Linked DNA regions of Saccharomyces cerevisiae S288C. The gene in region 3 interacts genetically with the main gene of each other region. Each region holds a gene or a part of one and is shown on either strand. Other genes may lie near its edges.

Region 1 (7,706 bases), on a different chromosome or scaffold from region 3:
TCCCGTCTTCATTCACCATGAACAACAAGCTCATATATCGTTCGGTTAGATTTGCAACCCATAACAGCCAGCTTTTACTTCCACCTTTGGTTCTCTACAGAAGGATACTAAGGCAGCATAAGCTGCTACCTGGTCCCCAAAGGGAGATGGGTGACCAATACGTGCGAAACGAGTTCAAGTTGCACAAAGATATCGATAACCCGTTGCATATAGTCGGCTTTTTAGCTTCCTGGCAAGATTATCTCCACATGATTTCCAACGGTAAATGGAAAGATGCCACTTTATCTTCGGAAACCCTGGAGAAACTATCCCCTGAGCAAACAGTTCAACTGTATGAATTGATGAAGGAAACACAGAAACTTCACCAAGACAATGAAATAGAATCAAGTAAGGACGTGAAGCGGAACAACAAGGATTAGTGTTCGTCTTTTTATTGCGCTTGTAAATAAGAAATCCATATACTATATAGTACACATGCTAAAAAAAAAAAGCTAAAAATCTCACTTATTTGCAGTGGTCTCCCTCTCCTGCCATATAACCCCACTGGTATTTTCCAATGCCTTATTGTTGGAAACCTGATCTTTATACCATTCCTGCACTTTCACAGGGTCATTGCCGTGGATAATACAAAACTTGAATTTGGACACCTGCTTGTCACATGATGTAAAATCTCCATATCTGTAATAGCTTCTAAATTGCCCTCCAATCGAATAGCAACTCGTCAGTTGATCAAATGCCTCTCGGCAACTCATCGTTGTCGGATATTTTGTACTCATCCTTTCCTGTTTCTTCCTCAAGCTGCTCTCTTTTACCCTAATAGAACCATCGCCTCCCTCTTGATTTATGCTAATACCACATCCAATAGCAGAACTATTACTAAGATCCGATATTTCGGCCCCCTTCGCAAAGGGGCCCGCCGCACTTTCTTCATGAATTTTCATATAAAAAGTCCCAGGACGCCAAGAAAAGGTGCCCTCTTGATTAACGGACACTCCAACTACTGTTATATATTGTTTCATGGAGACCAATTTTTCCTTCGACTCGAATTTAATTGTTATTATCATTATCACGTTGTTTGCCACAAGAATTATTGCTAAAAGATTTTTATCTACTCCAAAAATGGTATCCCAGGAAACAGTTGCTCACGTAAAGGATCTGATTGGCCAAAAGGAAGTGTTTGTTGCAGCAAAGACATACTGCCCTTACTGTAAAGCTACTTTGTCTACCCTCTTCCAAGAATTGAACGTTCCCAAATCCAAGGCCCTTGTGTTGGAATTAGATGAAATGAGCAATGGCTCAGAGATTCAAGACGCTTTAGAAGAAATCTCGGGCCAAAAAACTGTACCTAACGTATACATCAATGGCAAGCACATTGGTGGTAACAGCGATTTGGAAACTTTGAAGAAAAATGGCAAGTTAGCTGAAATATTGAAGCCGGTATTTCAATAGTTTAAATTACGCTAATATCCCCTTCATAATATTTACATATATATATCTTTTATTATCTATATCTTAAATCACATATACCTACAAAACTTCTAGCTAGATTCACACAAGAGTACTTTTGAAGGCTGCGCGTGCATTTTGAAACCAATGAGACCCGCTAAATTCCGTCTGAGGTACAAGATCCCTCGGCTTCTTTCTTCCCTTATCATCAACTTTCGGTTTGCTATTATTGGCATTCATCACACTTAGCACGTACGACATTGGCAAAATTTTGGGTTCGTCCGCCTCACGCTTAAACCATTCTCTTATCCTATATCCCATTGTTTCTAAATCATCTGCCCCAATTTGCTTTCTAAAGTTATAATCTCCTAACTTCAGCATCAGGAGCAACGTGTAATATGCATCATTGCCTGCGTTATGTAAGAAGGCATGTGGCAAGTGAAAAAGCCTTAGTAGTTTACCTAAACTGCTACCCTTCTTGCCATAACACATGCTATAAATTTTCTCTGTGTCAAGCATCTTAACATGTTTTCTAACACCTTTGCTCTCCGTTGAGTCCTCCGGTTTGGTAAGTTCATTATCCAATTCAGGTACATGGACCCCAATTTTCTTCAGCCACTTAATATCCCCCGCTATAGCATGACCCACAAACGCTCTTTCCCAGGTTGTATCTTGGTCCGTCTCACATTTCATATAGAAATTAATCAACGACTGAATGAACTCTACACATTGTTCCAATGGTAATACAAGACTTTCTCCAAGTAAAAAGCAGTCTTTAAAGTCGCATACGAATTTCTTGTTTCTTAACGGTAACGCTTCAGCAACAATTAAATGATAACTTCTTATAATCGGCATCAAGGAATAAATGTTTTCTCTTGGATCATATATGGCGATGCCAATCTCTGTAACAATGTCTGTATCAAATTCAAATGCCTCTACATCGATGGCAAAACAAATTGTCTTGTTGGATGATAATAACTCAATAGTTTTACAGAGATACTTGAACTGAGACCCACCAGGTTCACAATTCATCACAGGTATATGTTCGTTTTTTACGTCCTGTACATCTGCTAAATATTGCTTTCTTAGATTTTTCTCCACATCGTCTTTAGATGCATCAGGTATACACCCGTTTTTCTCTATCCATTTCTTGTCAATTTCTTCCAGCTTCTTATCCAGTAATTCTGAACTTTTCTCATAGATGGACCGATAGTTTGTTTCCAATGCCTTTAAATATTTTTGGATTTCACTACTTAACGCAATGTTAGGGGTATATGCAATTTCGTGCAGAGAATTAAAATGTTCAAACTCATTTATCCATGTCTTTTGTCTTCCTAGTTTATTCATCAACTTGCTACTTGAACTCTTATACAGTCCCACGCCCCCTCTTCTTGAAGGGACCATACCCCTAACTCTAGCTGCATTGCGGGTTGCCAGACTCCTGTTTAAACCTTGTGGTTGATGGTAATTGCGGACTGCTTTGGAGTTGAATCTATGCGTAACCATTTTGACTACCGCTTCGTATGCTTTCTTGCACTTTGTGGAGCTACTCATACAATAGCTTATAATCTGTGTAGTCAAACTATATACTAGGCAAATTACTAGTAAATGCAGTATTCATATGTCCTCAAACCGTTTTTTGCAGTATGTTATTGATCCATCGAATCAAAATTTTTCACCGCCAAGAGAAAAAAGATCTTACTATTTTGTGCTTATGAAAAAATTAGTAAAAGTAAAGCTGGAAGCACATACAAGCGCAGCTGAATCACAAAGGAAAATTGGCACATCCTTGGTTGACACTTGTCTATTTATTAAAAGGTTTTAAAAAGTAGTGTTCAGCAGTTCTATCATATTTTTTTATTTAAAAAAAAATACTGAGAGGAAGCGTATTGTTAAGACACAATTTAGGGTGGCGTTAAATAAACGAGAGAGCCCAAAAATATAACCAAGATAAAGAAAATCAATCATAAAGTGAATTCAAAAATGTCATCGCAAAACCTCAATGATAATCCAAAAAATACATCCTCAGCAGCTGAAGATAAGAAGAAACAAACTTCATCCTTAAAGTTGGCACCAATACCAACCACATCGCCATGGAAATCATCTTCGCCAGATAGCAATACAGTAATTCCTGTAGAGGAACTAAGAGATATATCAAAGACTGCAAAGCCAAGTAAAAATGGTTCGGGGTCAATTAAATTAACAAGCAATACCAAATGGACTCCAATTACGCCGTCTGTTATAATCTCAGGTTCCAAGGACACAAATTCAAAGTCAGGAAAGAACTCTAAAAATTCTAAGACTAATAAAAAAATGAAAAAGCGTGGCAAATATAATAACGATATCAATAAAAAGGACTTTAACGGTCAAACCAACAGTACATCGGAAATAAGTAACGTTTCCAATCTTGAATCCAAACCTTTAGATGCTAACGCTAAAGTAAACATACATTCAAGCTCAGGAGCAACTGCCAATGGGAATATAAAGAGGATAACAAACAACAACAATTCAACCAACGGTAGACAATCAAGAAATTATCAAAACAGGAATGGCAAAACAAGATACAACAACAATAGTAGACACAGTCAGGCGGCTAATAATGCCATCTCCTTCCCAAATAATTATCAGGCTAGACCTGAATATATTCCCAATGCCAGCCACTGGTTGAACAACAATTCAAGAAATAGCTATAAACAACTGTCATACTTCCGTCAACAGCAGTATTATAATAACATCAACTATCAACAACAATTGCAAACACCATATTATTACTCAATGGAACCTATTTTTAAATCTATCGAAAGTATCAAAAACCAAATTGAATTCTATTTTAGTGAAGAGAACTTGAAAACAGATGAATTTTTAAGATCTAAATTCAAAAAAGCCAATGACGGATTTATCCCCATGAGTTTGATAGGGAAATTTTACCGTATGGTTAATTTATCTCTTGGTGGAGACCCAAATTTAATTTTGGCATCTATGAGAGAAGTTTTACAACATAAAGAAACAAACCATTTGGAAATTGCCCTTGGAAGCATAGAAGGTGCTCAGAAGAACATGGCAGATGATTTCAATCCATTGGAAAACTATTTTATTAGGCGCGAAAATTGGGCTGAATACGCTATGGAAAGTAATTTTGATGAAAATGATGACGAAACTGAAAAATACAACATTGAGAAACTATTGGGACCGAACGATTTAGACAATTATTCTTATATGGGCTATCCAAACTTCTTTCCCAGTAATGAAAATGGGAAAAAGAGTCAGAGCTATGACCAAGGTGAAATTAGCAGGCAGTTTGAACAAAACTTACAAATAAATGATTAATTTTAGACAATATTTTTTTTTTTTTTTTTATTATGTATATAGTTAACATGTATAAAGTAATAGCAGATTCTCTCTAAAAATATAACATAACATTTCATTTCAATTCGTACTAAATAATTTTTTATATAACAGATACATAAGATATTTATATAGAGGAAAACGAAAACAAACTAAAAATAAGCTGTTAAGAACAGATATGTTTTATGCCACCAGAGCACACAAAGCTGCGCCAACACCGGACCCATCTTTGGCTAGACGCAAATGTATCTTACGTTCACCCTCAGTGCCAATTGGACTTAATGCCAAAGCATGTCTCAGCATGGATCTGAATCCAGGATAGTATTCGATGACATAACCGTCAAAACCAATTTCTACCTCACCGTGATATCTTTTGTTCAAAGCGTTTGTCTTGATTAGGATGGCGGCAATCGGAACGGCTGCTAGATATGCAGACCTTCTCGTAATGGAACGGACCAGATTTTGAATTGCTTTACGTTCTTCAAAAGTGGTCGGTAGCCTCAAACTCTGCAAAAACGACAATTCAGTTTCACGCAAGTTTGTCGAATCATCGATTTCAATCCTGGAAAGAACTTCACTGCACAATTGGAAAGGAGTCTTTAAACGGTGAGGTAATTGATCGTAATTACGATACTGTCCCAAGATTAAGCCCCTTGCATGCAAGTCCACCAGGATGTTCCTTAACAGCTCACCCAAGTACATGCCGGAAATTCTTTTTTCAAATAGATGGTAACCTGGATTTGGAGAAAATTTTTGGTCAATATCGATGTCATACTTTGTAGCAGACAAATGTTTCAATTCATTGTCGAAAGAACCCCATTCGATGTTGATGCACATTTGGGTTTTTCCTTCATGCAGCAGTCTTGTTCTGAGCTCATCTGGTAGCTTCTTGATGTTTTCAATATCCTCCATATAGCAACCGTTAGTACCAGTACCAAAGATACAACCAATGACAGGCTCGCTAATCTCACCAGCACTCGATGGACGAGAGCCTGAAGTGTAGCAGTGGGATAGGAAAGTGCCAACCGTGTCGTTGGTCAAAGCTACCACATTAATCATAGAGAGCCCCTGAATGTCTAATTGCTCCTGGTATAACCTCACGACATCCTTGCCGACCGTGTCTTCAATCTTGAAGCTTTTGGTCCATCTGATTAAAGTACCGGAACTCAAAGAGGTTTGGTCAACGGGATATGAGAAGGTAAATCCCATTTTCAAAGGTTTTATGTTCTCCCCCGTGGACTTCAACAACTCAGGATGATGCTTCCTAACGAAGGCCCTTGTACGGCGACCCAGGTAGCTAAACAGCTCCTCGCTGGTGACATCCTTGTCATTTAGATATTCTTCCGGAATCTTAGACTTCAATTGCTGCATATCAAAGGTTCCGTCACCATTCAAAGTCACAGAACACACTCTGAAGTGAGTCCCACCTAAATCTGCAGCCAGCAAAACACCACGTTCCGTCCCATTGGGCAAACTGGTTACATATGTAGGGATCATGGGTAGACCCTTGTCCACCGTCTTTTCTTCGCCTACAGAGGTGTTATTCAACCCCTTTTCCATACATTCAATGAAGTACGCTGTTAGTTCGTCCAACTTTGCTGCATCAACCTGCAATGAGGAGCAGATCTCAACCACTGCATCTTCCAATGCCTCAGCATTGACTTTATGTAAATTTTCAAATGACATTACTGTGTATCTATGATTCGATTCTTGTACAATTCTTCCTTGATACACTGATATCTGTTTCTATTTAAACTTCCTATAAGTATGAGACGTACAAAAGAACACGAGACAAGATGAGATTTTACACTTACACAGAATCGACTTTATATAATCCCGAATACATGTTTCCCCCCCCTGCATCGCAAGCATAATAGAATTCGACGACCCGATCTTCTTCCTCTGTCTTCCACACACACAAACACTAATTCACTCTCACTCTCTCACTTTCCCTTTCGACGACACACACAAAAAGACTTTCTGGATGCCCCGCGTTTTTTGTCACTTGATTCTTCGAACAAAGACGCAGGCAACTACCCCTGAAGGGCCCACCCGAAAGTAGTTGCTACTGCTCGTTGCGGTGGCTGCCAGAGTGGCGACGTAGCGTTGCGTTGTGGCTAACATTGGTGAGACAACCCGATTAAATTACTTAATGGGCTCTCCCACCGCCTTTGCACCCAGTGACAGCCATTTTGAAGATAGCATCGGGCTGGCTTCCAAATAAAATCTAGGTCGTTTCTATTAAGTTCGTTTCGTTATTTTTCTGTCTTCGCGGCGGACACGCAAGCCGACGACGACGAGGTTTAGTTGCATTTTGGCTATCATAAAAGAAATGGGCTTGTCGCAACGGGATCAGGACCAAGAACAGGGGTGCTGAGACTACTACTGTAACTGCGACCGACACAGCGTGCGAAACTAGGGAAGTAAAAAGGTATAGGAAGAAGAACTATGTTTAGAATAGCTAAAAACCTCGTACGGACTTTTGAGCAGAGCGTGCAAGATACCCTGGCACTCTCGCAGGACTCGAGCAATCTGGACGCTTTCTTTCAGTCTATACCACCAAATTTGTTGTCTGCTCAGTTGGAATCACCCGTAGATGCGGTTTCTGAAGGTGTTAAGCACACCAACGTCAATGAAACGCTTTCCGGTCTCCGCATTGTTTGGGTGGACGAGATGCAGTTCCAACTGCAGTCCTTTTTCGACTATATAGTAGGTTTCAATGATGATCCGGTGCCGGTGGTCAGTAATCAACACGGATTTTCGTACCCAGATTACCGTCGTATCACATCCATCTTCAATGAACACTGTGGCCGAACTTTGAAGGTCAACATATGGTCAGCTAAAGGAGGCACGTTCAGAGACGAGTATATCAGCATTATATCGAAGGAGAGCGACGATTTGGACGATGTTTCTCT
Region 2 (7,991 bases), 540 kb from region 3:
ATTGAAGCCAATGCTTCAAATCTTCTATTCAAATGCACAAGCTTTTCTGCTCTTGAATGCAAGATCGTCTTGAACACAACGAAAGAGGCAATGGAACCTGTTACAGATCCCAAAGCTAGCGTAACCCATCCCTCAAAACTGACACCATAGATCAACCCAGTAGTGGTGGATAATAAGGAGTAGCCAATCATAGGAGGAAATGCGACAAAGAATATCAGAACCATTAATATAAAATGTGTTGACATCTTTTCTCTCAAATCGTTCGAAGTAACAACAACTTTATGTAAAATCGCATTATGGAAGACGAGCAACAATATACCCATTATCATTAGCATTATGCCGAGGAGGACAATGATAATCTGTTGCCATAAGCGTAGTGAATAAAAATAAAACTGTAATTTTTGAACATTCTTCCTGATATTATGCATCAATCTCTCTCTAGGGGACATATTATAAATGTCTAAAAAATCATCATCATTAACATTTACTTCGTCATTGAATGACAATCCAGCATTAGTACCAACCCTTTGTCCATTATTACTATTTGGCATGATATCGTTGTCAAAGTCTTCGAAATAGCCATCAAATTCATCATCCTCCCCTTGGCCCATATTGGCATTTCCTGCTTCGTAAGACTGACTCATTTGTGTAACCAATATCTTTCTTCCACCATAATAATATTTTCAAATATGTTGAAGGTATTGTTTTAGTAAAGTGGCTTTTTTTCTTAGTGCAGCTCGAGAGAAAACAATGATTTCGATTTCCGCTTTGAAAATGATATGAATGAGAAAGGCCATTCGAATAAATACATAGATGAAAAAGAATATCTAGAGGATATATAAGCAAGCCCGTGTTTTCTTATTGAGTAAAACTGGTGGTGCTTTTGTGCTGCGTTGAAGAAGAAGGCCTCGATCGAAACGGTGAGCTCTTTGTAGCTTGAGAAGGGGGTCTTCCATCAATGCTATGACGCCTGAAATTGCCCGCTAAATCACTATGAATCATTGCGTCTGAATCGAAGTTACTTATCAGTCTCAATGTAGGATGGTCTTCTTTATCCGAATCTGTGTATAATATGTTGCTACTGCTGACCCATTTTTTGTTCATATGCCTCAAGTATCTACTCTTTCGGCCAAAATGCAATTTCTTGTCTACCATGGCAGGTGTTTCAATGCTGGCAGAATGTGGGATAAGTTCATGGCTTTCCGGGTCATAGGTCTTGGCATCCATAGGAAACATTAGCCGGCCCATACTTGTTTTTTTCTGCAGAATTGGCGGTGGGTGTCCATTGATTTTGCTGGATTGCCTCAACATCCTTGATGTGGGAGAAGCAACTGAAAATGAAAAGGATTTGGCTGGTCGCCTTGAAGTTGAAATAGTATCTGATTTCCTTCTTTGGTGACGCGGATTGAGAGAAGCGGACGTAATGGAATACCGCGGTCTAAACCCGGAAGGTGACCGCCCATATGTGCTTGCATTCTCACGTAACAATAGCAAAGAGTTTGTCGATTCTGATTCTAATAAGTTGTCATCTAAAACATTGGAAATATGATTGTCACCCTTGGTTGGAGTCCTAGTTAGCAATGTTGAATTTTCTGGGTTTTTGGACTCATCTGACGTTTGCTCTGGAGCTTTAATTAATCCAATGACTGAATCAGCAAATTGGAAGGGGGTTTTTAAAGAGGAGGTGACAATCATCCTACCTTTGATATAAGAAATCGCCTTATCCAGAGCAAATTCCTGGCCACAGTGATTTTGAATAATGGAAACCTTGGGCCACGTAGCTTTTGCACCATTGGTGATTTCCCTTAATAAAAATTCTTTTGTTGGGTTTGACAACAGCTCCTTTATTCTAAAAAGCATACACATGTCGGGCAAAATAGTGATGTCACCAGAATATTGTTGAGATAATACCGATCTCAGTTTTGTAAGCGCGTTTTTGGCAATTCCCATCTCACTTCCAATTTCTAGAATATGAATAGCTTCATTGGCCATAAAATTGTATATACTTGATAAGTTTTGCTTTAATCTTGCACTAAATTCGTCCTCAATTTCCCCGCCAACACAGGATAGTGATAGTTTCAAAAAGGGAAATACGTGAATATTCACCTGGCATGCGATAATATGGTCTACATTAAACATTTCAGAAAGACGAGAAATGGGCAAGTCATTGTCCACAGAACCATCGACAAATTTGACCGAACTACTACCAGTCCATGGTTTCCTTTCTCCCGTTTTTGGATCTTTTTCGTAAAGTGGGCTCGAGGGGAAAATTCCCGGTAGTGAACATGATGCACATACGGCGGACCAAATCAGGACGTTTGGTGCAGTCAAATTATTCAGCAAGCGCGGTTGTTCAAATAAAGATGCCGGCGAAACGGTTATATTCAAAATTTTACCCGTTCTATTGTAAGCTTCCCTAAATGTCAAATCTCCCAAAAATTCTATCATTGTATTTACCAGATGCTTGTTATCAAACCACGTACCGTTTTTGAAGAACCTAGATATTTTTATTAACAAATTCTCGCTTTCACTTTTCTGTTTATCGTCTTTGAAAATGTTGAATTCTTTATCCAAAATATGATTTAGTAAAACCGGAATTTCTTCTTTGTGATGGACAGATAATATGCTTGCTACAATTGCACCAGCACTGCTACCACTAATCACTCTGGGTAATAAATCCAATTCAAATAGAGTACCAAGGACACCGATGTGGAAAAGACCAAAAGTTCCACCCCCACTGAGAACTAAAGCGGTACGACCAATATTTCTTCTCGTTTGTTGCAGTATACCCAAAAGGTAACTATCATCAAGATCAGACTCCATTAAAGATTCTAGCGCTAACCTAGACTCCATCATATACTCGTCAATTAAATATTTGGTGCCTACATGGGAGTGCCTATATAGGTTTACATTCCCCATATTTCCCAGGTTTCGTACCCAATTCGTCCTAATGATGTACAACAATTGAGCGTAATTCCTATTCAAGCGCTCCTCACGCATTCTAGATGTTAAATCTTTTATTAGCTTGTAATCATACAAGGGACTTTCCAATTTCTGCTTCCATTCTGTTTTCCCAGTGAGGTCATCCAATCTGGCGCCCGCAGAACACCATTCTTCAAATGACATCGCATGTTGCTTTTGTGAACAGACTTTGTCAATAAGAATGTCTCTTTCATAGTTTCCCACAAAAACGTTGTAAAGAAATGATTTGCATTTACTGGCTAAAGATGACCCTTGCCTTTCATCTTCGCCTTCGTCTGTCTCAACCATCTCGATATCATTATTTTCATTTTCTGTTACTGTCTCTTGGTCATCGTCAAGTTTATCCTCGTTTCCAGTATCCAGGTTGAAATTTACTTTGTTCGTAGTTTTGTTCTTGCCAGTTTGCAGTCTTTTACCAGCATCCTCCTCCACCCTTTCAACATCTGAATTATCCTTACTGGGCCTAATAAACTTGTTCTTCGGATTTAAAATAGGAATTATGTTCTGGGAAGTGCCCAGGATCTGTTCGTAATATTTTTCGATTAGTTGTTGCGTAACAAGGAGGGGCTTATTTTGTGTAGATGTAAGATCTGATATTTTGCTGCTCATTCAGACTTTTATTACATATACCTGTACTCCCTTCAATAATTATTACAGCGCTAATTTTTTTGATCAAATACTTGAATACAGGCCTCTTTTACGAGTACAATAATGACATAATGACAATTTGAATCAACCATACTTTATAATTGTGGTTTAGCGTTTCATAGTCGCAATTATCGTATAAGAGGGGTAATATGTCAGCCCTAGTTTACCCTACTTTTTTTAAACCCCTTAAGATCTTTTTTCCTTTTTTCTAATATTTAACCTACTAATATTGGTAAGTAAACCTAATGACTTTTTGAAGCGCCTAGCCCTATTTCTTTCGAAATTTTCAATTCGCGTCCTTTTTCAATTCCATGAATAATAGGAAACATGAAAAAATAAGTAAATAATAATAATAGAAAAGCTGGAGTGTTGCAAATTTAAGAGGTAGCCTTAAAATATATTTCTGCTGTGTTGAATATTTAATTTATACAGCTAGAATAGGATATTATAGCCGAATTTTTTTCAAGCTTCTTCAAAGCTTATAGTGAATAACGTAAGGGGAAAAACAAGAATAAATTTAGCAAAAGAAACGCTCAAGTCAATGTATAACTCAATCTACGGGTCCCCCTTCCCTAAAATAAATCCGAAGGTCCGCTACAAAACTGCTCTAGAAAGAGCAGGGTTTGACACTAAGCCGCGTAATCCGTTCAGTAGTCAGAGGAATGCTTCCACTGGAAGTTTACAAGCTTCCGTGAAGTCGCCGCCAATAACCCGTCAAAGAAATGTATCTGCCGCCCCATCTGTTCCGGTCACGATGAAGAGTGCGTATACGGCGTCTTCAAAGAGTGCTTATTCATCTGTAAAGGGCGAGTCTGACATTTATCCGCCTCCCGTATTGGAGAATAGCGAGAGGCGGAGTGTAACTCCTCCAAAGAATAGCAATTTTACGTCTTCGAGACCCAGTGACATATCTCGTTCTATTTCCAGGCCCAGCGAGCGTGCTTCGCAAGAGGATCCCTTCCGTTTTGAACGCGACTTAGACCGTCAGGCGGAACAATATGCTGCCTCTAGGCATACATGTAAATCACCTGCTAACAAGGAATTCCAAGCCGCAGATAACTTCCCCTTCAACTTCGAACAAGAAGATGCTGGTAATACTGAAAGGGAACAAGATTTGAGCCCTATTGAAAGAAGTTTCATGATGCTGACTCAAAATGACACTGCAAGCGTTGTAAATTCTATGAACCAAACCGATAACAGAGGTGTGCTCGACCAAAAACTCGGAAAAGAACAGCAAAAAGAGGAAAGTTCAATCGAATATGAAAGTGAAGGACAGCAGGAGGATGAGAATGATATTGAAAGCCTAAATTTTGAACCAGATCCTAAACTACAGATGAATCTTGAAAATGAACCACTTCAAGATGATTTTCCAGAAGCAAAACAAGAGGAAAAGAATACAGAACCTAAAATTCCGGAAATTAATGTTACGAGGGAAAGTAATACACCATCTTTAACCATGAACGCACTAGACTCTAAAATATATCCTGATGATAACTTTTCTGGCCTGGAATCTTCAAAGGAACAGAAATCACCTGGTGTGTCATCATCGTCAACAAAAGTTGAAGATTTAAGTCTTGATGGGTTAAATGAGAAACGTCTTTCAATAACTTCTTCAGAAAACGTGGAAACACCATACACTGCTACGAACCTCCAAGTCGAACAATTGATTGCTCAATTAGACGATGTTTCCCTATCTAGAAATGCAAAGCTCGATATGAACGGCAATTGCCTCAACGCAGTGGACAGAAAGGCTTCTAGATTCAAAAAGTCAAGCGCATATTTATCTGGGTATCCCAGCATGGATATACCCGTAACGCAGCAAACATCAATTGTGCAAAACAGCAATACGAACTTATCCAGACAAACTATTCTGGTAGATAAAGGCGATGTCGATGAAGACGCGCCATCTGAATCTACAACTAATGGTGGCACACCCATTTTTTACAAGTTTAAACAGTCGAACGTAGAATACTCCAATAATGAAGGGATGGGTTCGCAAGAAACTTTCAGAACGAAACTTCCCACAATTGAAGCACTACAACTGCAGCATAAGCGCAACATAACAGATCTGAGAGAAGAAATTGATAATTCCAAATCTAATGACTCTCATGTATTACCTAACGGCGGCACTACGAGATACAGCTCTGATGCAGATTATAAAGAAACGGAGCCCATTGAGTTTAAATATCCGCCTGGGGAGGGACCTTGCAGAGCATGCGGCTTGGAAGTCACAGGGAAAAGAATGTTTTCCAAAAAGGAAAACGAACTGTCGGGTCAATGGCATCGTGAATGTTTTAAATGCATTGAATGTGGTATCAAATTCAATAAACATGTTCCCTGTTATATTCTAGGCGATGAACCATATTGTCAAAAGCACTATCACGAGGAGAATCACAGTATTTGTAAGGTTTGTTCAAATTTCATAGAGGGTGAATGTCTGGAAAATGATAAGGTGGAACGATTCCACGTGGATTGTCTAAACTGTTTCTTATGCAAGACTGCCATTACTAATGATTATTATATATTCAATGGGGAAATTCCATTGTGCGGTAATCACGACATGGAAGCTCTCTTGAAGGAAGGTATCGACAATGCTACATCAAGCAATGATAAGAACAATACTCTCTCTAAAAGGAGAACGAGGCTCATCAACTTCAACTAGCATCACTACCCATTTGTCTTTCCTAGCACACATGTTTCATAACATTCTTAATAAGATTTTGATTTTTTATATTATTAGCCAGCCTTGTTCATTTATAAATTGTATAGCGCAGGAAAAAGGCATCTGCCTATCTATGGTATCAACAACATTAGTCGTCATTAGTTAGTTAGTTATAAAGACATCATTCACTCATATTCACTACGTTGTCTTCTTCTCAACAACTACCTCTAACTGTTTTTTTACGCGTCATTTAATTGTAGCGAATTTCTATTTTTGGACATTCTCGTACCGGTGCATTAAAGGCTAAAAGCTAAAAAGGGAACAGGAGCCTAAGAATAGAGAATAAGGAAATTTATTTAAGGAAAGGCTAAGCAATGAAATGTTTCGTTATTTTATTGTATTTTCAAGAGGATGGAAGAAGAACCTGAGCACAAACGGATAAATAATAGACGAATATAATGTTTCTTAAGACACCTAATTGGGAAACGGTAAATGAGACTCCCAAATCGAGAGTCTTAACGATAAACGAATTGATCTCTCCCAACCTGGATACTGAATCTAACAGCCTTCTGGCGACGCCGGCAAGGAAATATTTCAAAACTTCAATAAGTGAAGCGCAAGATTCTCCTACATCTGCCCCTTCGCCCGATGGCAATGAGGATCCCACATATCAATACAACGTACAATTTCATTTTCCAGGACCAATAACACCTACAACACCCAGGTCTAAGAATGCAGAAATGTTTCCATCCCCCACGCCCCCATTGGTTTCTCCCACAGCGGTTATCGAGGAAGAGAATGACGATTCCGTACGGGAGTTTTCACGCACGCTAAAATCAAGACTCAACTGCGCAATGGTTAAGCTATCAAAGGAACATGAGCAAGTAGCTTTGATTCCTCCACCTCCGACGGAAAAGATACGAAAGGGCTCTTATAGTAATAAATTTGCCGCTAAGCATAGGCGCTGTCACTCGTTAGATGAATCCAAAAAGTTTCTGAGTTCTCTGGAAGATTCATCCGCTCATGCAGCGTTCTTGAAGGCAATTTCGTCCAAACATGCCAAAAGCAATAGGGTAGACAACGTTAACGTTTCGCCGTTACGTTGGTCATCTCATAGAAGAACGCAAAGTACACAGGAGAATTCTTTACAAGAAGTTGTTGCTATCGATACATTATTGAAGATGTCCTCATCGGACTGAACTAATGATTCGGGTTTCGCATATATACATGGCTTTGGCTACTTTTAGGTTTATAGTTCTTGCTGTTTATATCACTAATATTTAGTATATAGCTGCGAAGAAAGAAAAAGAAAATATTCACCTCTAGGAGCCAAAAACATAAAAAAAAAAATAATTAAAAAAAACTTTTATTGAATGCTTAATTATTTAGTGACGCGATTACCTATATACCAGGTTATTTATTTTTTCTTTTTTCAAAGGAAAACAATACAAAATATTACTGTTACCATTTTTGTTACTATTATTATTGTCTTTATTACTATTATTTTTCTATCGTTGCTATAATTACAATTTGTTTACTCTACAACTTAAAAGGAGATTACTCCAGACAACGAGTTTTGTTTTATGTTTCCTATTCTTTTAATCTTGGAATTTGTATGAACCACTTTCTAATGTAATGGATCCACCTCTGTAAGAACCTCTCTTCATTTTATTTTTGTTCTTCGTGAAATCTTTACCTC
Region 3 (9,214 bases):
TATCTTTGTTTAGGATTCAACTTGTTTTCAATGGTCTTAGACTTTGGTAACTCTTCCAGTTCCTTTTTCAAAAGATCTTTCAAATCAGTATCAGTGGGGACTCTTTTATGATTTTTATTTTCGTCGCTGGTAATGTAATCACGTAGCTCAGTGATGTTTAGTGTAGCCATATTGACTAACCCATCATCTACTTTGTCGGGCAAAGTAGCGGTCTCACCGTTCGATTCAGGGATATTATTGATATCCAAATGTTCCTCTTGCAACCGCTCTTCAATATAAGAATTCAAGTAATCCCTACTAGGGGCAGAAGTGCTAGCTAGACCGGTAATATCAATGTAAAGGCCGGTGTCGACGTCAATGAATCTTGCATCGATATTGTTTTTACCGTTACCGTTAATTCTTACTGTCAAGGAGTCGCTGACGTCTAGGAAATAACGTCCATTACCCTGTCTTGGGTCTTCCAATATAAGAGATTGGTTGAAGTATTGACTGAGCAATTGTAAATGCTTAATGGGCATTTGCAAGTCGAAATCGTTATCCCAAGGGAAAGCCATTCCATTGTAAAGATAGCCGTACAGCGTTCCGTGAGACAACCAAGATATGATGCCGTTGGCTTTAGTAAACTTTTGGAATGTTCTGATCATTGAGTTCAATCTAGCCTGGTATTCTTGTTTATCATTGATTAATGTATCAACATTGAAGAACCTCTTGTCACGATGGAACCCCATACCTTTATATTGCTTCACGGCACCAGCCTCATAGAAGAACTTTCTTTGCAATGCAGGGCTTGTCTTTACGGAATTCTTCAAACTGTTCAGATAATTCTCATTATGAGCGGAAAATTTGTCCGGATAGAGTTTCTTCTGTTCCTCTAACTCTTCAATTTTTTTGGAGGCATCGAACTTGAAATCCGAAGGGGATAAATAAACCAAATCTTTATCAAAAGTGAATTTATCAGTTTCTTCAATTTCCAGTTTGTATAGGGAGTTAACTTGGTCGTTATTGACGAATTCCTGGAAAAGCCTGTTATGGTTGAATTCTACGTCCTGTTTATTTTTCTTTCTCTTGTTCGTAGAATTAATGTTATCATTAATATATTCCTGCAACAGGCCGGATTGCACCAAGTTTTTTGATTTTTCAGTTTGCAAGGGGACTTGATACGTGGAATTATCTGATTCGATGATGGAAATGGATAGTGGATGCGACTGTGTAGTCAAAATGTAGTTTCTTGCCTGCAATTGGTAAACTTCGGGTCTAACTTTATCATACAGCTCCTTTATTTGAAATTGCGTATTAAATCTTAAACCCTTAGGAGAGCCATGCCCGTCTGGAGTGAATAGCTTGGAACAATGCTTTTTTAGTTCCTTTGAGTCTTTGATTCTGTCCTGGTTTCTAGCGGCCTTGTACCACAGTTTCTGCGCGTACTTTGGTCTTTCGTATAGGAACAAAGGTTCGCCGAGCTCTGTCTCAATGGCCTCTAAAGACTCTTTGTCGAAAGCGGACTGGAAAAGAAAATTGCAGGGCAGAACAGTTTTATCTATGGAAATCAGCTTATTCAGCTCGTGGAAGGTTGTCCAGTCGTACCATGAAAAGGGTAACTTTTCTGGCTGATCTGCGTCATTATTTTGCAAATGGTTCAGCACAACGGACCACGTGAGACGAGGGTCGAAGTCGTAAAACTTCAACTCATCCACGGATTCGAGCTTACTGCCCTTTCGAGGGCCCATTTTGACCGAGAGCAGGTCATTTTGCAGAGTATATTCATTGACCCATTTAGGGTTGGTGCCGAATTTTAAATTTTCGTATAATGTCTTAGCGAACTGGATCTTGCGATCGTTTTTGAAAGACGAAGTCAGGATGCTATACCAGGAATCATCATCACTGTCAAGTTCGTTGTAATTTGGTAGAAGGTAATCAGCGTCCCGCCCAAGTCCGTTACGCTGCGGTGAATTTGACCAGATAAACGTTATAATGATGATCTGCAGTAGAATCAGTGGAAGGAGAATGCGCCTTAATGGGTAGTGCTTGACACGCAGCAGGCCAGATAAGAACCGCCTGTGAAGTTTAGATGATATTCGCTGAAGCATAACTAATTAGTTTATTTGTGTGAAGGAATAGTGACGTTGTGATGCGGTGAGTTCGGCGGTTAGGGGAATGGTATATGATAAAAAACGGAAACGTGCTTCTTTAATTTAATTGTTTAATATTGTTGCAGATATATAAAAAGGGGGAAAGAACCAAAGATGTAATTATTTCTTTATTGCCTCAACCTAAAGCAAGCAATAAGGTATAGAGATCAGGACGTCTCGAGAGCTGATATCAAATTTGAAGCCACGCAAGTAACTACGTAGGTCAGAGGGCACAAGGAATAACACGTGACATTTTTCTTTTTTCTTTTTTTTTTTTTTTTTTTTTTTTGTTAGTCTTGGCTTCTGTGCCGTAGTCTGTATACGGTTTTAGATGCGGTATGTTTATCATCGCCCAGAAATTTGCGGGGTGCAAAGAAATAAAATCCGTGCTGAAACCCGTGCTGAAATCCGTGCACCGCATCAAATTTTCTCGGAGGATTCTTTGCGCCGGTTTTCATTTTCTTCCACGGAATACCAAGCCCATTGCATCGCGATGTTAGTTTAGCGGAGTTTCTTGGCATTGGCAAATCTCTGCTAAATGCTGCGTACAGACGGAAACTCACACCGCCGCGAAGACTGGTCAGTGGCAAAAAAAAAATAAAAATATAGAAAATAACTATTACGTATGTTACTGTTTCTGGTAGTTGATATGAAGTTGGAGTTGTATATTGTACGCTTTAGGAACAGGGAAGTGAATATTATTTACTCTGCTGCACATTCTGGCTAGGTCGAAGCCGGAACTTGAGAAGACGCCGCGCTAGAACTATGGACCAAGCTGTTGACAATGTTCAGATGGTGATGCACTACCCTGTGCGGGGAGTGGCCACGGACGCGAGCGGAAGGTGCGGAAGGTGCGGAAGGTGCGGGAGTTGCGGGAGGTTCTTCGCTAAGCGTGAGGGTTGCTAGCTGGGGCGGCGGGGTTTCCCTAAGTGTAAATAAGGCCTCGGCTGGCACATGAGTCGCCGGAGGAGGCGGCGGAGGCGACGACGCTAAAACCGTGGCCGTTGGGGAAGGATGGGCGGCTATATCTACCATTGACCTGATGGGGACTCGGTTCTTAAGGAATGGGTTTGAGGTGGGTGTGGTTGCAGCAACATCTGTAGCGATATGGAAACCCCGCGGATTCTCGTACGTAGTGGTTTTGATAATAGGTTTCTTACACACATATTTGTCGTTGGCATCAACACAAGTCTCAATTCCTTGGAACCATGGGTCTTCGAAGAGGTCGTCGATGGTGTAGCGGGTGGCGGCTTCTGGGTCAGCGAGCCGCCATGCCACGCGAGATGCATGTCCGTTCTTGAAATTTCTAGCCAAGTGATACTCCATTCCCGGCCCCGGGCGGTAATTGCCGCGATTGCGGAATGCGCGATCGTGAAGACGGATAAAGTTTTCATAAGCGTCACAGTAATCGCGGAAACCAGTGTCGAAGCTGCAGGATTCCAAAAATGGAATGACGTTGTTGACGAGGGTCATGAGGATAATACCCAGGCCATAACAGTCTAGAGCGCGTGGGTCATACGGCTGTTGCAATTCCGTATCGTAGTGCTTCTTGGAGTCGTAGAACATGACCTCCGGGGGAGCATACGGCGGCGAGCCGATCATCCCTGCGCACTTCTTGACAGGGCTGGACAGGTCGTGTGGATCCGTGTGGTACCAGTCTGAGATACCAAAATCTGTCAGCTTGCACACGCCGTCCGGGGATAGCAGTACATTTTCCGGTTTCAAATCACGGTGGGCGATGCCCTGATCGTGGCAAAACTTGACACCACACGCCACCTGTTTGAATATACAAAACTTTTCTGCTAGGGCCACGCTGCGCCAGCCCGATTTTTGTATCATCGCGAACAAATCTCGTAGACCTAGCTCCATGACGAACCCCCACCCGCGAGTGGTGTAGACGGTGGTGGGCACCTTGACTAGAAGGAAAGTATTTGTGATGTGAACATGATGACTTAGCTGCTTTGCGATGATAAACTCCTTTGAGCAGCGCTTGTAGAATTTCTCGGGCGTTTCATTATAGATCATATTGAGCTTCTTTAGAGCAAATACGTCCTTCTTGCGGTACTTGGAGCGGATCTTGCGCACTTCGCACGAACCGCCCCATCCGATGGTCTTATTCTCATCATCAAAGACGAAGTTATCGCTCAACTGGATGCTTGCCTCCTTCATCTCGTCGGGCAGATACTCGTTTGGGTCCACAATTGGGATCGGCAGCATGCGGATTTTGGAATCCCCATCGTGAAGGTAGAAGCCCAGATCAGGGTCTTTCTTCATGGAGGTAGAGACGGACGAGAGTGACGTGCTTGGGGTTGAGACGCCGTATGGATTGTACACTAATCGTTCGCTACTGAACTTGGAGTTTGAGAGATTACGCGAAGTGGACGAATGTCTGTTTCCTCTTGAGATGGACGTGCTGGAGCCGGCCGGAGGTAGGATCTTGGTTGAGGCGGAAGATAAAGATCTCTTGCTGTTGGTTGTGTGAGCGAAAGAGTTTGCACGGCGAGAGGTTTTCAACGAATTCGGCAGTTTTGGGCTGGAGGATTCGCTGTCATTAGTACTTGTAGAGTGGAAGTCTGGAGGTAGAGACGCCTTTTTCTTCAACTTGTTCCCATGGCTTGAACTTAACAGCTTCTTTCCGAAGAACTTAAATGCTGATACCGAGGAGATTGGTTGTTGGGATATCTTCGTAGAATGATTGTGTGAGACTGTCATTGGTTGGTGGTGCGATTTAATGCGTATGCTTGCCTGTGGCGTTAAAATGGTCTATACGTTTATGCTAATATTTCTTGATGTAATGCAGGGCCTATGAATACATGGAGGTTTGTTGCCGGTGGTATACGGTTGAAAAAAAAAAGAAATAGATATATATATATTTCTTCTTTGTATAGACTTCTGCGAGAAAAAGAAAAGATAAGGAAAAATGAAAAAAAAAGCGTATAGGTGCTAAGAAGAATTAAGTATCAAAAGGTAGCAGGCATTTATGTTATATATGCAACTTCGGATTTCGTTCAATACATCTTGACCGGTCTCCACTGTTACTGGCATATTTCTCGGGTTTTTCCTTTTCACCACAAGGGAAAAAAAATGCGTTATGTAATTTCACCAATATTTTTCCCGTCCTGCGTGCTCGCACAATACAATAGGGTCATGTCACGTAATAAGCAACGTGCGCCGCATTTTTTGCCCTTTAAAGGGAAACGCGCTTTGTTCTTTTCTTCTTCCTTTTCACATAAGGGAGAGTCGGCTACCAATGTCGATGGAATTCTCACCATTGGGCATCTCACCGTTCCTATCCTTCTGGAACCTATCGTAAATCCCCCTTAATTTGACCAACTCACTTGTTGAAATACTAGGTTTTGTCTCTTGACAGGCTTCCAATAAATCGTTTATTGTGACCACAGCTGTCAGCTCAGAAGCAGCTGAAGTGCTTGTCTTTGTCTCGTGCACCACATCTTGCTGCAATAGAGTCTTTAGCCGTAGTCTATTTTCTTCTCTACGCCCGTGCTCATTGATACTGAAGTATTCTATATTATCATTGCCGGGTACCACTTCCGATTGGTCTGCAGCAGACAGCCACCTATGTACAGATTTCAAATAAGCATTGTAGCAGAGCCCCTGTAAATCAGCACCCGAAAAACCAGCTGTCTTTTCAGCGATCAACTTCAAGTCTGCATTTTTCTCCAATGCAAATTTTTTTTGTCCCGTATCCTTGTCTTTTGAATTGACGATAGCTTGCAAGATATCTAACCTCTCTGATTCAGTCGGTATATTACAGATCACACTTTTGTCTAATCTTCCCGGTCTTAACAATGCGCTATCAATCAAATCAGGTCTACTTGTAGCTGCTAGTATATATACACCATCAAGGCCCTCGGCACCATCCATTTGGGTCAATAATTGATTGACTACACGGTCTGTGACACCAGTGGAGTCATGCCCTCTCTTTGGCGCAATAGAATCGAACTCGTCAAAAAATAGAATACAGGGTTTGACGGACTGTGCCCTTTCAAACAATTCTCTTATGTTTTGTTCGCTGGCACCTATAAACTTGTTTAAAATCTCTGGTCCCTTAACGGAGATAAAGTTTAACCCACATTGTTGTGCCACGGCGCTCGCCAGAAGCGTTTTACCACAACCAGGATAACCGTAAAGCAAGATTCCTGATCTCAATCTTAGGGGACAATTAACGAAAATAGGCTCATATTTTGTGGGCCACTCTAAGGTTTCTAGAAGGACATCTTTGGCATTTGCTAAAGCACCAATATCCCCCCATTTGATGTTCGTTTCTTTTGTTAGCTTTACTCCACGCAACGCAGATGGTGTAAACGCACTAAGCGACTTCGAAAAAAGTTCCCTTGTTACAACATTATCACAATCTCTTTCCAACTGCAAGTCGTAGAAAATCTTTTCTGTGAATATTTCCAAATCTAGTGGCGAAAATCCTTCTGTCTCCAACGACAAATCACTGAATTGCAAATCTCGATTTAGTTTCATGATCTGGTTTTTCGAGAAAAAATACTCCAGTAACTTCGCTCTTGCATGTTTGTCAGGTGCTCTCAAAGACCACGTCTCTGAAACAAAATGCTTATCAAACAATAGCGGATTAATTTGAGTTTTCTGCTTGCCTGAAAATAAAACTCTGATTCGTTTATTATCCTTGTTAAATATCTTTGTCACCTGATTGATGAAAAAATTCAAAAGTTTGCTTGCATTATCCCATTGGCCATTATTAGAAGGATCTCCGTCATTGGCTTGAGGTTTTCCAAATAGAGCCTCAACGTTATCCAACACAATCAAAGAAGGACCATACCAATAACAAAAAGAACACCATTCCATAATTAATTTTTGGGTTTTATCTAAATTTGATGTCTCGTGCAATGTTTCACAATCCGCATATTTAACGAAGATGTGATGATCTTTTTCCACTTCATTTATAAGCTCTTTTAATAACCTTGTTTTACCGATCCCTTGCTTACCATCTAATATAATAGCTGGTGTGGCAATAATAGGCGATGTCAAATAATTGACCATTTCTTTCTTGATACTATTTACCGTAATGAAATCATCTTCATCTTTACTAGTGCGCGAAACTTCGCCAGTTTCTTTGACGTGGTAATGTTTAGGCAAATGCCTTTCGATAATATCTTTAACTTCTTCTTTACCCATTTGGGTTACTTTCCATTGAACGGATTCATTGGAAATTTCATTCAAATTACACAACTGCTGCTCGGATTCACCTTTTTTTATTTCGATTATAATTTGCTCTGTTGGAAGTATTAAGTTATTGGTCAATAAGCTCCCGCCCAACAACTTAGAATACTGATCCCCACTCTTGGTAGGAACGTCCTTGCCAAAATATTTGATATTGACTGTTGCATTTCTTCCGGATATTATATTTGCTTGATTCATTTGTAGAAACTCTAGTTTGATTTTTGCTCCGTTCATTGGGTGCGTAAAGAATGCATCCCAAAGATGAGAGCTTAATGCAATGTGATTTTCGGGTATCTGACTATCACATTTTATAAAAACCCCAATCTTCTTCGAAGGGATACCAACTGATTTATTATCTGAATCGCTTTTCTTGGACTGCCTTAAGCTACATTTTACGATAGAAGCGTAGCCCTTCTGAGAAGGCAATTGTGCCCCGTCACTGATATATACGACAAAAAGGTTATCTTTAGGGAAGTCCATTTTGCACACAGTACTCCTCAATATTACCTTCTTTAAAAGTTGGATAGCCCCATTTTTTAGTATTGTCTTATTACTATGACCATACTCAGCCTTCACCAAACGTGTTTTATTGACTTTTGGTGCCACAACAACCAAGGAACCATCTGTGATCCTCGCAGACTTCATTGATGGCTCCACCCTGTCAATTTTGAACTTTGTAACAATTCCTTCCAAATAACAAATCAAAGTCTCACCTGGGGTAACTATACGGGTTTGGTGCAAAATCTCACCATTTTGGAACCTCATCGCATTGGCATCGATAATTTCCCAATCATCACTCGTTTCTGGCGTGACATACACCTCCGTAGCCAGGTGTGTGTGGTCATATCGCTGGATGTATAAGTCCACCAATGGAGACTTTTGATTTAAATCATATACTGTGGCCAAAACAGGATTGATAAGAACAACATTCTCACTCGATCCAGAATCATGGCCATCCCATCCAAGATGAACAATAGGTATATCTGAATTATGAGAATGGACTGCTATACCGAATTCCTGGATAGCGTAGTTGGTTGACTCTAACACGTTTATAATTGAATGCGGTAACCTTAAAAAGTTTCCTACTATGGCATTGGAGAATTGGATTCTCAGATTCTCAAACTTCAACCTCTTGGTCGTCGTCATTTGAAAGAGCAGTTCCTCAGGTGTTTCTTGTTACTGCCGTCCCTTCCAGAAGAAATTCGACGATGACAATAGTCGGAGAGATATTCCGGACCTTTATAATTGCGGCTACGCACAAGAATAAATCGCGATAGTAATCGGATATAAGACAATAAAGTCCAGCTAACTTGGTTGGAGAATTCGACAGATTACCATGAATATAGAAATCGATGTTTTTTTTTGTCCACGCCGATTGATCAGCCATTTTTTTTTATCAGGGTCGCAACTGCCCTGTGCAAATAAGAAAGCCTGAAATGGTTGCACAAAGACCACAAACAAGGGCATACGCCAGTACAGTATTATGGACTCATGCCATCGAGGTTACATAGAATTAGTTTAAACAAAAACCAACTATCCTCTAATATCCATGGTACGAGTATATATAATTGTATGAAGTGTAAGAATATGATATAAATAATGAGAGCACTCATAGAGAGTAACGGCGCTGAATTGTAAGAACTGTCACGTAGTAACACAATCACTGAAAGCATATAAAGTGAAATGAGAAACGGTAGTAATATCATATGCATTACCAATTCCTTTTAGTGAATTTCCATGTGCCCGAGGGGGGACTTCCAGTATATTCTGTTACATTTAAGTAAATACTTCATCAACAAATAGGGCCCAGCGGTTTCTTACACTAATTATACATTTACAACGTAAATGCTCCAGCTCAAGCATTATTTATATAT
Region 4 (7,882 bases), on a different chromosome or scaffold from region 3:
GCCTTTTCGTGTCCATTTCATTCTATTGATTAACTTATTAGACATCGGAGGGAAGTTTTTCCACCTATGTTATATATGTAAATTTTTTTTTGAAGGAGGCGCGCATAAAATAATCTCACACTATTTTGAACATTGCTTAGGGTTGAGTGGGGAGTAAAGAATAAAGCGAATCCTATTCGTGTAAGCCGGTCTACTTATTGATAACAATATTTTACAGGCGGCTATCATGTTTCAGCTTACGCATTCACAGTCAGGTTGGTGCTCTACATGAATACCAGCGTTTACTTTCATTTACAGAGTACTAGCACCTCCACTGTCGCTAATACTGAATTTAGTTTTGAAGAGTGAAAACAACTAAATCAGGCGGTAGAAGAAAATCAATAGCTCATATATTCTTATATATTACAGGTGATATTTGTATATGATTATGAATGGCTTTTCGTAGCCCGTGATCTTTCATTTCTATATTATGTGTAGCTAAAAGGGCCCCTTAAGTACTTGCAGATTGAAAAACTCTATATTGCATTCAAGTTTTCACGAAATACAAAGAAAAGGTCTCGTAGTTATTGCCTTAATAAAGGAATTACTTTTGCTGTAGTCGTATTGAAGCAAGCTTATTTGAAAATTGCGAATAATCACCTCTCATGACGGAACAAAGAACCAAATATGCAGATAGCATATTGACTACTAAGAGTCCTTACGAGGCTACCGAAACTATTAGAATCAGGTTATCGCAGGTCAAATTGTTGAATAAAGACTTTTACCTGTTATTTAAGGAATTGGCAAATCTGAAGAGGAACTATGCTCAGCAATTGAGAAAAATAATAGCTGAAAATGAAGATATAACAAAGATCTTAAACGCTCAAATGATTGAAAGTAATGTTTTGACTCCGCAGGAAATGAGTGCATTCAGATTCAACTCGCTGGGAGAGCTAAGAAATGTATGGGATACTGTAATTGAAGAACTAAAATCAGATTTGAAGTCAAGTACAGAATACTACAACACTTTGGACCAGCAAGTCGTTCGTGAATTGAAGGAATCCGTGGAGAACAATACTAGCTGGAGAGAAAGCAAGGACTTACATTCCAAGCTTAGTAAAAATGCAGCTTCAATTGAGCACTATAGTAAGAATAACGAAAACTCTAGTCACTTAGAAGAGGCAAGAAGGCAATGGGACCAGCAAAGCCCCTATTTGTTTGAGCTGTTCGAGACTATTGACTATAACCGTTTGGACACTTTAAAAAACTGTATGCTTAGATTTCAAACCAGTTTTAGCGATTATTTACTAAATACTACCAAAGAATGCGAAACGGTGATGACGAAATTCCTGGCATTCGAACCGCAAAGTGAAATTGATCGTTTTGCCAAAGATGCCAGTCAATACAACTTCCAACTATCCTCTTCTTCCAAAGAAGTAGTTCCTAATAATGCTTCGCCAGCTTCTGCCACTGGTGCCCGCCCGGTCTCTGTATCCAATGGTGCCGCTAATACGGAAAGAGAAAAGAAATCCCCACAAAAGGATAAGCGTAAGAGTGCATTTGGAAACATTGGACATCGTCTTGCCTCTGCATCTTCCAGTCTCACTCATAATGATCTCATGAATAACGAATTTTCAGACTCTACTAATAATTCTTCCTTGAAATCAAAAAAGTCGTCCCACACCCTAAGATCTAAAGTGGGCTCAATTTTCGGTAGAAATAAGACCAAGAACAAGAGACAACAACAATCATCATCAAACTCTCATATTCAGGCATCCATCACTGAGACTCCGAATAATTCTTCCACCAGAGTGTCTTCAACTGCAACTTCTTCTATTTATCAGAAGCAACGTCGACCCACCTATTCATCATCAAAATCAAACAATTGGACCCCGGGTGAAGCTAGTGACACTCCTCCTCTTCCTCCCCATGCTACTCCTAAAAACGTAGATGCACCTGTTACTGCCGATACACCACCTGCGCAAACTTTTACTCCTTCTGAAGTGCCTCCTTCAACGCCACAACAAAGTTCTCCACCCACTGCGAAAGAACCAGACTCAAGTAACTTACCCAAGACAGTACCGATATCAATTTCTCAACCTCCACTTCAGCCACAATCAAAAACAAAACCATTACCAGTTGAGCCTGCCTCTCCCAGTATTTCACTTCCTACTGCTACGGTTGATAACCAACCTTCAGGTCAAGTTGATTCAAGGCCCTTGCATATCCGCGCACCTGCTTTACCACCCTCAAGGAAACAAAATTTCATTCATAACAGGGATTCTCAACTCTATGACTCTTTGCCTAATCACGGCTCAGGCGCTACCCCTACTTCTTCTTCCTTGTCCTCTATTCCCCAGGAACGTCCAGTTTCCACACTCTCCTCTCAGATTACTGGCGAGCTAAGAGAACTAAATCCTCAAGCCACGGGCTCTTCAACATCTTTAGTTGGTCAATCGTTGTTTCAGCACTCCTCTTTAGATACATCTCAATTTGGGTTGAATGCTAGTATCGCAGAAGTGCTCAATGCTTCTTTCAAAGACGGTATGTTGCAGAACTCCCAACTGATTGGGGAAATTGCCCTCAACTATTTACCCAATTCTGTCATGAATTCGCCTTTACCTATCGGTATTAATTTGAGAATCAATAATGGCGCTAAGTTCGAAAAGGTCATTCTGAACCAAGCCTTTATTGAGCGTGTTGCTCCAGAAGAATTCAAAGTTAACCCTTCATTTATCGATTCTAGAACCTTAGGAGCTATTAAATATTCCATAAAGGAGCCGATCGCGCCTATTGTTATTCATCCGGTCTGGAGATTTGAATCTCACCAGGCAAGTGTTGTATTGACTGTCAAGATGTCACCAAGCTTACCCGATGAAATATCACAAATCGTAATAGAAGACCTCGTTGTCTTTGTGAATATCGATGGTGCTAATGCAACAAGCGCTTTATCAAAACCTCAGGGCTCCTTCAGTAAAGAAAAGAAGAGAATAACGTGGAGATTTAAAGAACCAGTTGTTTTGACAAGAAATGGTGAAGGTCAAAGATTAATCGCCAGATTTATTACAGACGGCCTGGCACATGAATCCGCTAAAGGCGTGATTACCAAATTCACTATCAGTGAGACGGATAACGTGGCTCTACCCCATAGCGGAGCCGGCAGTGGAATCACCTTGACTTGTCAGGAGCTGGATGAAAACAATCCATTTGGTGGTGAGTGGCTCGATGTAAACACAAAAAGAACTTTGACCACTGGTAACTACCATGGTCTCGCTTGATATTTCTGCTATGCTTCTATTTTTCAATATTAATTGTTCTTTTGTTTGCTAATCCATAATTTATGGAGGTGGCGCCGCTAAATCATATTTTCCTTTTGAAACCTTTGTTTAAGACTTACGTAGAACTACACTTATGTACTATAATGTTCTGTAAAGATTCTGTATTTTCGTTCTTTTCTATTCCATTTTTCGGACTTTTAGGACTTTTCATCTAATACTTATTATTTGTGGAGGAGTGCTTAAAAGGCGTTTGCGCCCAGACGAAAAAAAAAAAGCTAACACAGTAGTTGAGAAAGACAAATACCACGAATTTGATAACAAGTCATTTGCTAATTGTGTGTCCTTGACAAATACAAAACAAACAAAAATCCACTAATCCATTGTAATGTTTTTACGTACTCAAGCTCGTTTCTTCCATGCTACTACCAAGAAGATGGACTTCTCGAAAATGTCCATCGTCGGCCGCATTGGCTCTGAATTCACTGAACATACTTCTGCTAATAACAATCGTTATTTGAAATATAGTATCGCTTCGCAACCAAGAAGAGATGGCCAAACCAATTGGTATAATATCACCGTTTTCAATGAACCTCAAATCAATTTTTTGACAGAATATGTTAGAAAAGGGTATGTTATTTATTCTTCAATTTTACTTACTTTACAATTACGCGTTATAATTTACTAACATTTCCTTTCCATAATTTATTCAGCGCTTTGGTATATGTTGAAGCAGATGCTGCTAACTATGTCTTCGAGAGAGACGACGGTTCTAAGGGTACTACTTTGAGCTTAGTTCAAAAGGACATTAATTTATTGAAGAATGGGAAGAAATTAGAAGATGCTGAGGGCCAAGAAAATGCTGCTTCTTCAGAATAATTGTAATATTTACGCTTGCTTATTTCGACTCTTCCTCGATATTTTTTATCTAGAGCATGCTTTCTTTTACTTAAAATATTTATGGCAAATAGGAAAAATACATTTGGAATAACGAACTAGTTATGTAAAACTATGCTTATTCTCAAATAGAATGTATATATACTATAATATATTGGTTAACGTGTGTTATGCAAAATGCTTTTTGATGATGAAATTTAGCAAAAGAGGAGGAAGCTTTAGCGAATTTAACATATCCTTCATTGTTACAAAATTGCCTACACCTCCATTGATCCATGCAGTCCGATTATTGTAGATTTTGAGTAGTCGATCTTGAAAGGCATTTTTGACGAATTACAAGAACTCAGCATCGATCAAATCTTCTACATGCGTATATTGTAAAGGAAGACATCGGCTCTTAAGAGAAATGAGGCGGACCTGTAATTCTGATATAAAAGTATTCCGATTTATTCAAGATTGAGAAGCTGTTTTCAGAATTTTTGATTGGAGAGAGCCTGGGCCTAAGTCATGATGAAGGAATCGAAATCTATCACTCAACATGAGGTTGAGAGAGAATCTGTTTCTTCCAAGCGTGCCATTAAAAAGAGATTACTTCTGTTTAAAATAGACTTGTTTGTGCTATCATTTGTTTGCTTGCAATACTGGATTAATTATGTCGACCGTGTCGGTTTCACCAATGCATATATATCCGGTATGAAGGAAGATCTTAAGATGGTCGGAAACGATTTGACCGTGTCTAACACAGTTTTCATGATTGGTTACATTGTAGGTATGGTCCCCAATAATTTAATGTTATTGTGTGTTCCGCCCAGGATATGGCTAAGTTTTTGTACGTTTGCTTGGGGTTTATTGACCTTGGGAATGTACAAAGTTACATCGTTCAAACATATTTGCGCAATTAGATTCTTTCAAGCCTTATTTGAGAGTTGCACATTTTCAGGAACACATTTTGTTTTGGGTTCGTGGTATAAAGAAGACGAATTGCCCATTAGAAGTGCTATTTTTACAGGTAGCGGTTTGGTGGGATCTATGTTCAGTGGATTTATGCAAACAAGTATCTTTACTCATTTGAATGGGCGGAATGGCTTGGCGGGTTGGAGATGGTTATTCATTATTGATTTTTGTATCACATTACCCATTGCAATTTATGGGTTTATTTTCTTCCCCGGCCTTCCTGATCAAACAAGTGCTGTTAGCAAATTTTCTATGACGAGATACATTTTTAATGAACAAGAGCTACATTATGCTAGGAGAAGGCTCCCCGCTAGGGACGAAAGCACCCGGTTAGACTGGTCGACTATTCCTAGAGTCTTAAAAAGGTGGCACTGGTGGATGTTCTCTCTTGTTTGGGTTCTGGGAGGTGAGAACTTGGGTTTCGCATCTAATTCTACATTTGCATTATGGTTACAAAACCAAAAATATACGTTGGCGCAAAGAAATAATTATCCTTCGGGGATATTTGCCGTAGGTATAGTTTCTACGCTTTGTTCTGCTGTATATATGAGTAAGATCCCAAGAGCTAGGCATTGGCATGTTTCTGTTTTCATATCATTGGTAATGGTTATTGTTGCGGTACTAATACGTGCAGACCCACTAAATCCAAAAGTCGTCTTTTCTGCACAGTATCTTGGAGGCGTAGCATACGCTGGACAAGCGGTTTTTTTTTCGTGGGCAAACATTATTTGTCATGCAGATCTTCAAGAACGTGCTATCGTTCTTGCTTCCATGAATATGTTTTCAGGGGCCGTTAACGCATGGTGGTCTATATTATTCTTTGCTTCAGATATGGTGCCCAAGTTTGAGAGAGGTTGCTACGCCCTCTTGGCTACGGCAATATCAAGCGGAATTGTCTCGGTCGTCATACGCTCACTACAGATAAAAGAGAATTTGTCTAAGAAACAGGTTCCTTATATAGATGCTAATGACATGCCCGGAGAAGATGACGATGACGACAACCAGGATAATGAAAATGATGGCGACGACGAGAGTATGGAAGTTGAACTTCATAATGAGGAAATGGCCGAAATTTCAAATCCTTTCCGATAGATACATTCGATTCTTTTAGCTATTCATTGGTCCTGTTGATGGTAATGGAAAATCTCAGGGCTCTTTTCAAAAGTATCATGAACAATAGCCGCTAAGACACTTCTAAAGAGGTCTACTTAGTTTTTCATCATGCATTTTTCGATTTCTGTTTAACTAATCTTTCTTTTCTTCCTTGCCAAGTGCAGGACAATTTCTAAGTCTATGTTTTTAAAAGCTTCTTGCTAACTTATTCGAAAAGGTTTAGTAAGTATTTTGTTCTCTGCTATGCGTTCACGCACTCTGCTATTTTCTACTTCTTGGTAGAAGTTAAAGTAAGTCAACTAATTACGACACCATGTCTGATGCATTTTAGAAACTTCAAATTTCAAGATTATTGTGACACGAAAAATTGGTTATTTTATGAAACAATGTAAGGAAAGCATTAGAATCTCAGGCAATAGAAGAGACCAAGAAGGAGCGAGAACTTTTTTTTTCACTGACAGAGCTTTACCAATCCACAGACAATTGCCAGGCCATGAAAAGATCTGTTCCAATTTTTCCTTTATCTATCCTCTCAGAAGATTGTGAACTTGAGTGACCTGAGCAGGTGACTTAGGTGGAGGAGCAAGATAAAGCTAGCTCCGGTCGGAATTTTGCCTATACTTTTTTTTTCTCTTAGCTCGATTTATTTACCTTTATTTAACTTCTGCAGTTGGACAACGATAAATATAACTTGTACTTCTATTATGGGAGCTATCTTCTTAGCGTTTTAATATTTCTCTTAAATATGACACAAGTTGGTTTACCGTGCTGTGATTATTGCATGCTCTTTCGGTGTTAACGTTCAAGCAGCGTCAGTGAGAACTAAAATCATCCAATTTTGGTTAGAAATTGAGGACGAGATGACCTGACGCAGTTCTTCATTGGGAGATCAGTCGCGCGAGAAAGAGTCCAGAGACAAAGGAATTTAATATGGCTACAGCAAGATGTTCTGAAGGATGATCGTGATCTGTTCAGGTGAGAAATCGGTGAATGTTGTGATTATCGTTGGGTCCACTGTTTTTTAAAGGGTATAATATTTCGTATATACTAGACGTTCTACTCGAGGACATAGGAATCCTTAAAATGGAATCGGTATTTCTACATAATAATACTCCTACCTTCTGTTTCTTATGTTTCATTATCTTATTACATTATCAATCCCTGCATTTCGCTTCCATTAGGTTTGATGACTGTATCTCAATCTTTATGTCATCTTCTTACACCTCATGTGATAAAATGCTAGTAGCATGAATACTTCTGAATGGATGGTATTTTAGAGTTTTATTCCAACACTAATATTATAACCTTTACCGAGAATAGTGAGAAATGTGTGGGTAATTAGATAATTGTTGGGATTCCATTGTTGATAAAGGCTATAATATTAGGTATACAGAATATACTAGAAGTTCTCCTCGAGGATATAGGAATCCTCAAAATGGAATCTATATTTCTACATACTAATATTACGATTATTCCTCATTCCGTTTTATATGTTTATATTCATTGATCCTATTACATTATCAATCCTTGCGTTTCAGCTTCCTCTAACATCGATGACAGCTTCTCATAACTTATGTCATCATCTTAACACCGTATATGATAATATATTGATAATATAACTATTAGTTGATAGACGATAGTGGATTTTTATTCCAACAAATAGA

Evidence for each region.
Region 1: mutations in PTK1 (region 3) and EMI1 together harm fitness more than expected from each alone (negative genetic interaction), as found in Saccharomyces cerevisiae (2 studies listed by BioGRID).
Region 2: mutations in PTK1 (region 3) and SRL3 together harm fitness more than expected from each alone (negative genetic interaction), as found in Saccharomyces cerevisiae (2 studies listed by BioGRID).
Region 4: mutations in PTK1 (region 3) and RIM1 together harm fitness more than expected from each alone (negative genetic interaction), as found in Saccharomyces cerevisiae (2 studies listed by BioGRID).

What each region holds. Positions count from the first base shown.
Region 1 is NC_001136.10:1,470,000-1,477,705, forward strand, and holds EMI1 (Emi1p), read right to left. Parts: upstream 1,065-7,706; coding exon 501-1,064; downstream 1-500. Other genes in the region: SDH7 (Sdh7p), read left to right, coding at 18-419; dithiol glutaredoxin GRX2, read left to right, coding at 1,018-1,449; YDR514C (uncharacterized protein), read right to left, coding at 1,549-3,000; SLF1 (Slf1p), read left to right, coding at 3,430-4,773; EMI2 (putative glucokinase), read right to left, coding at 4,975-6,477; GRH1 (Grh1p), read left to right, coding at 7,240-7,706. UniProt on the Saccharomyces cerevisiae protein: Involved in sporulation. Required for the full activation of the early meiotic inducer IME1.
Region 2 is NC_001143.9:604,775-612,765, forward strand, and holds SRL3 (DNA-binding protein SRL3), read left to right. Parts: upstream 1-6,750; coding exon 6,751-7,491; downstream 7,492-7,991. Other genes in the region: TVP38 (Tvp38p), read right to left, coding at 1-644; TGL4 (triacylglycerol lipase), read right to left, coding at 859-3,591; PXL1 (Pxl1p), read left to right, coding at 4,172-6,292; SRP40 (Srp40p), read right to left, coding at 7,891-7,991. UniProt on the Saccharomyces cerevisiae protein: Weakly suppresses a RAD53 null mutation when overexpressed.
Region 3 is NC_001143.9:65,380-74,593, forward strand, and holds PTK1 (putative serine/threonine protein kinase PTK1), read right to left. Parts: upstream 4,842-9,214; coding exon 2,853-4,841; downstream 1-2,852. Other genes in the region: MNN4 (Mnn4p), read right to left, coding at 1-2,087; PEX1 (AAA family ATPase peroxin 1), read right to left, coding at 5,355-8,486. UniProt on the Saccharomyces cerevisiae protein: Essential determinant for low-affinity spermidine transport.
Region 4 is NC_001135.5:169,201-177,082, reverse strand, and holds RIM1 (Rim1p), read left to right. Parts: upstream 1-3,642; coding exon 3,643-3,884; intron 3,885-3,967; coding exon 3,968-4,133; downstream 4,134-7,882. Other genes in the region: SYP1 (Syp1p), read left to right, coding at 645-3,257; FEN2 (Fen2p), read left to right, coding at 4,659-6,197. UniProt on the Saccharomyces cerevisiae protein: This protein binds preferentially and cooperatively to single-stranded DNA (ssDNS). Involved in mitochondrial DNA replication. Stimulates PIF1 helicase activity.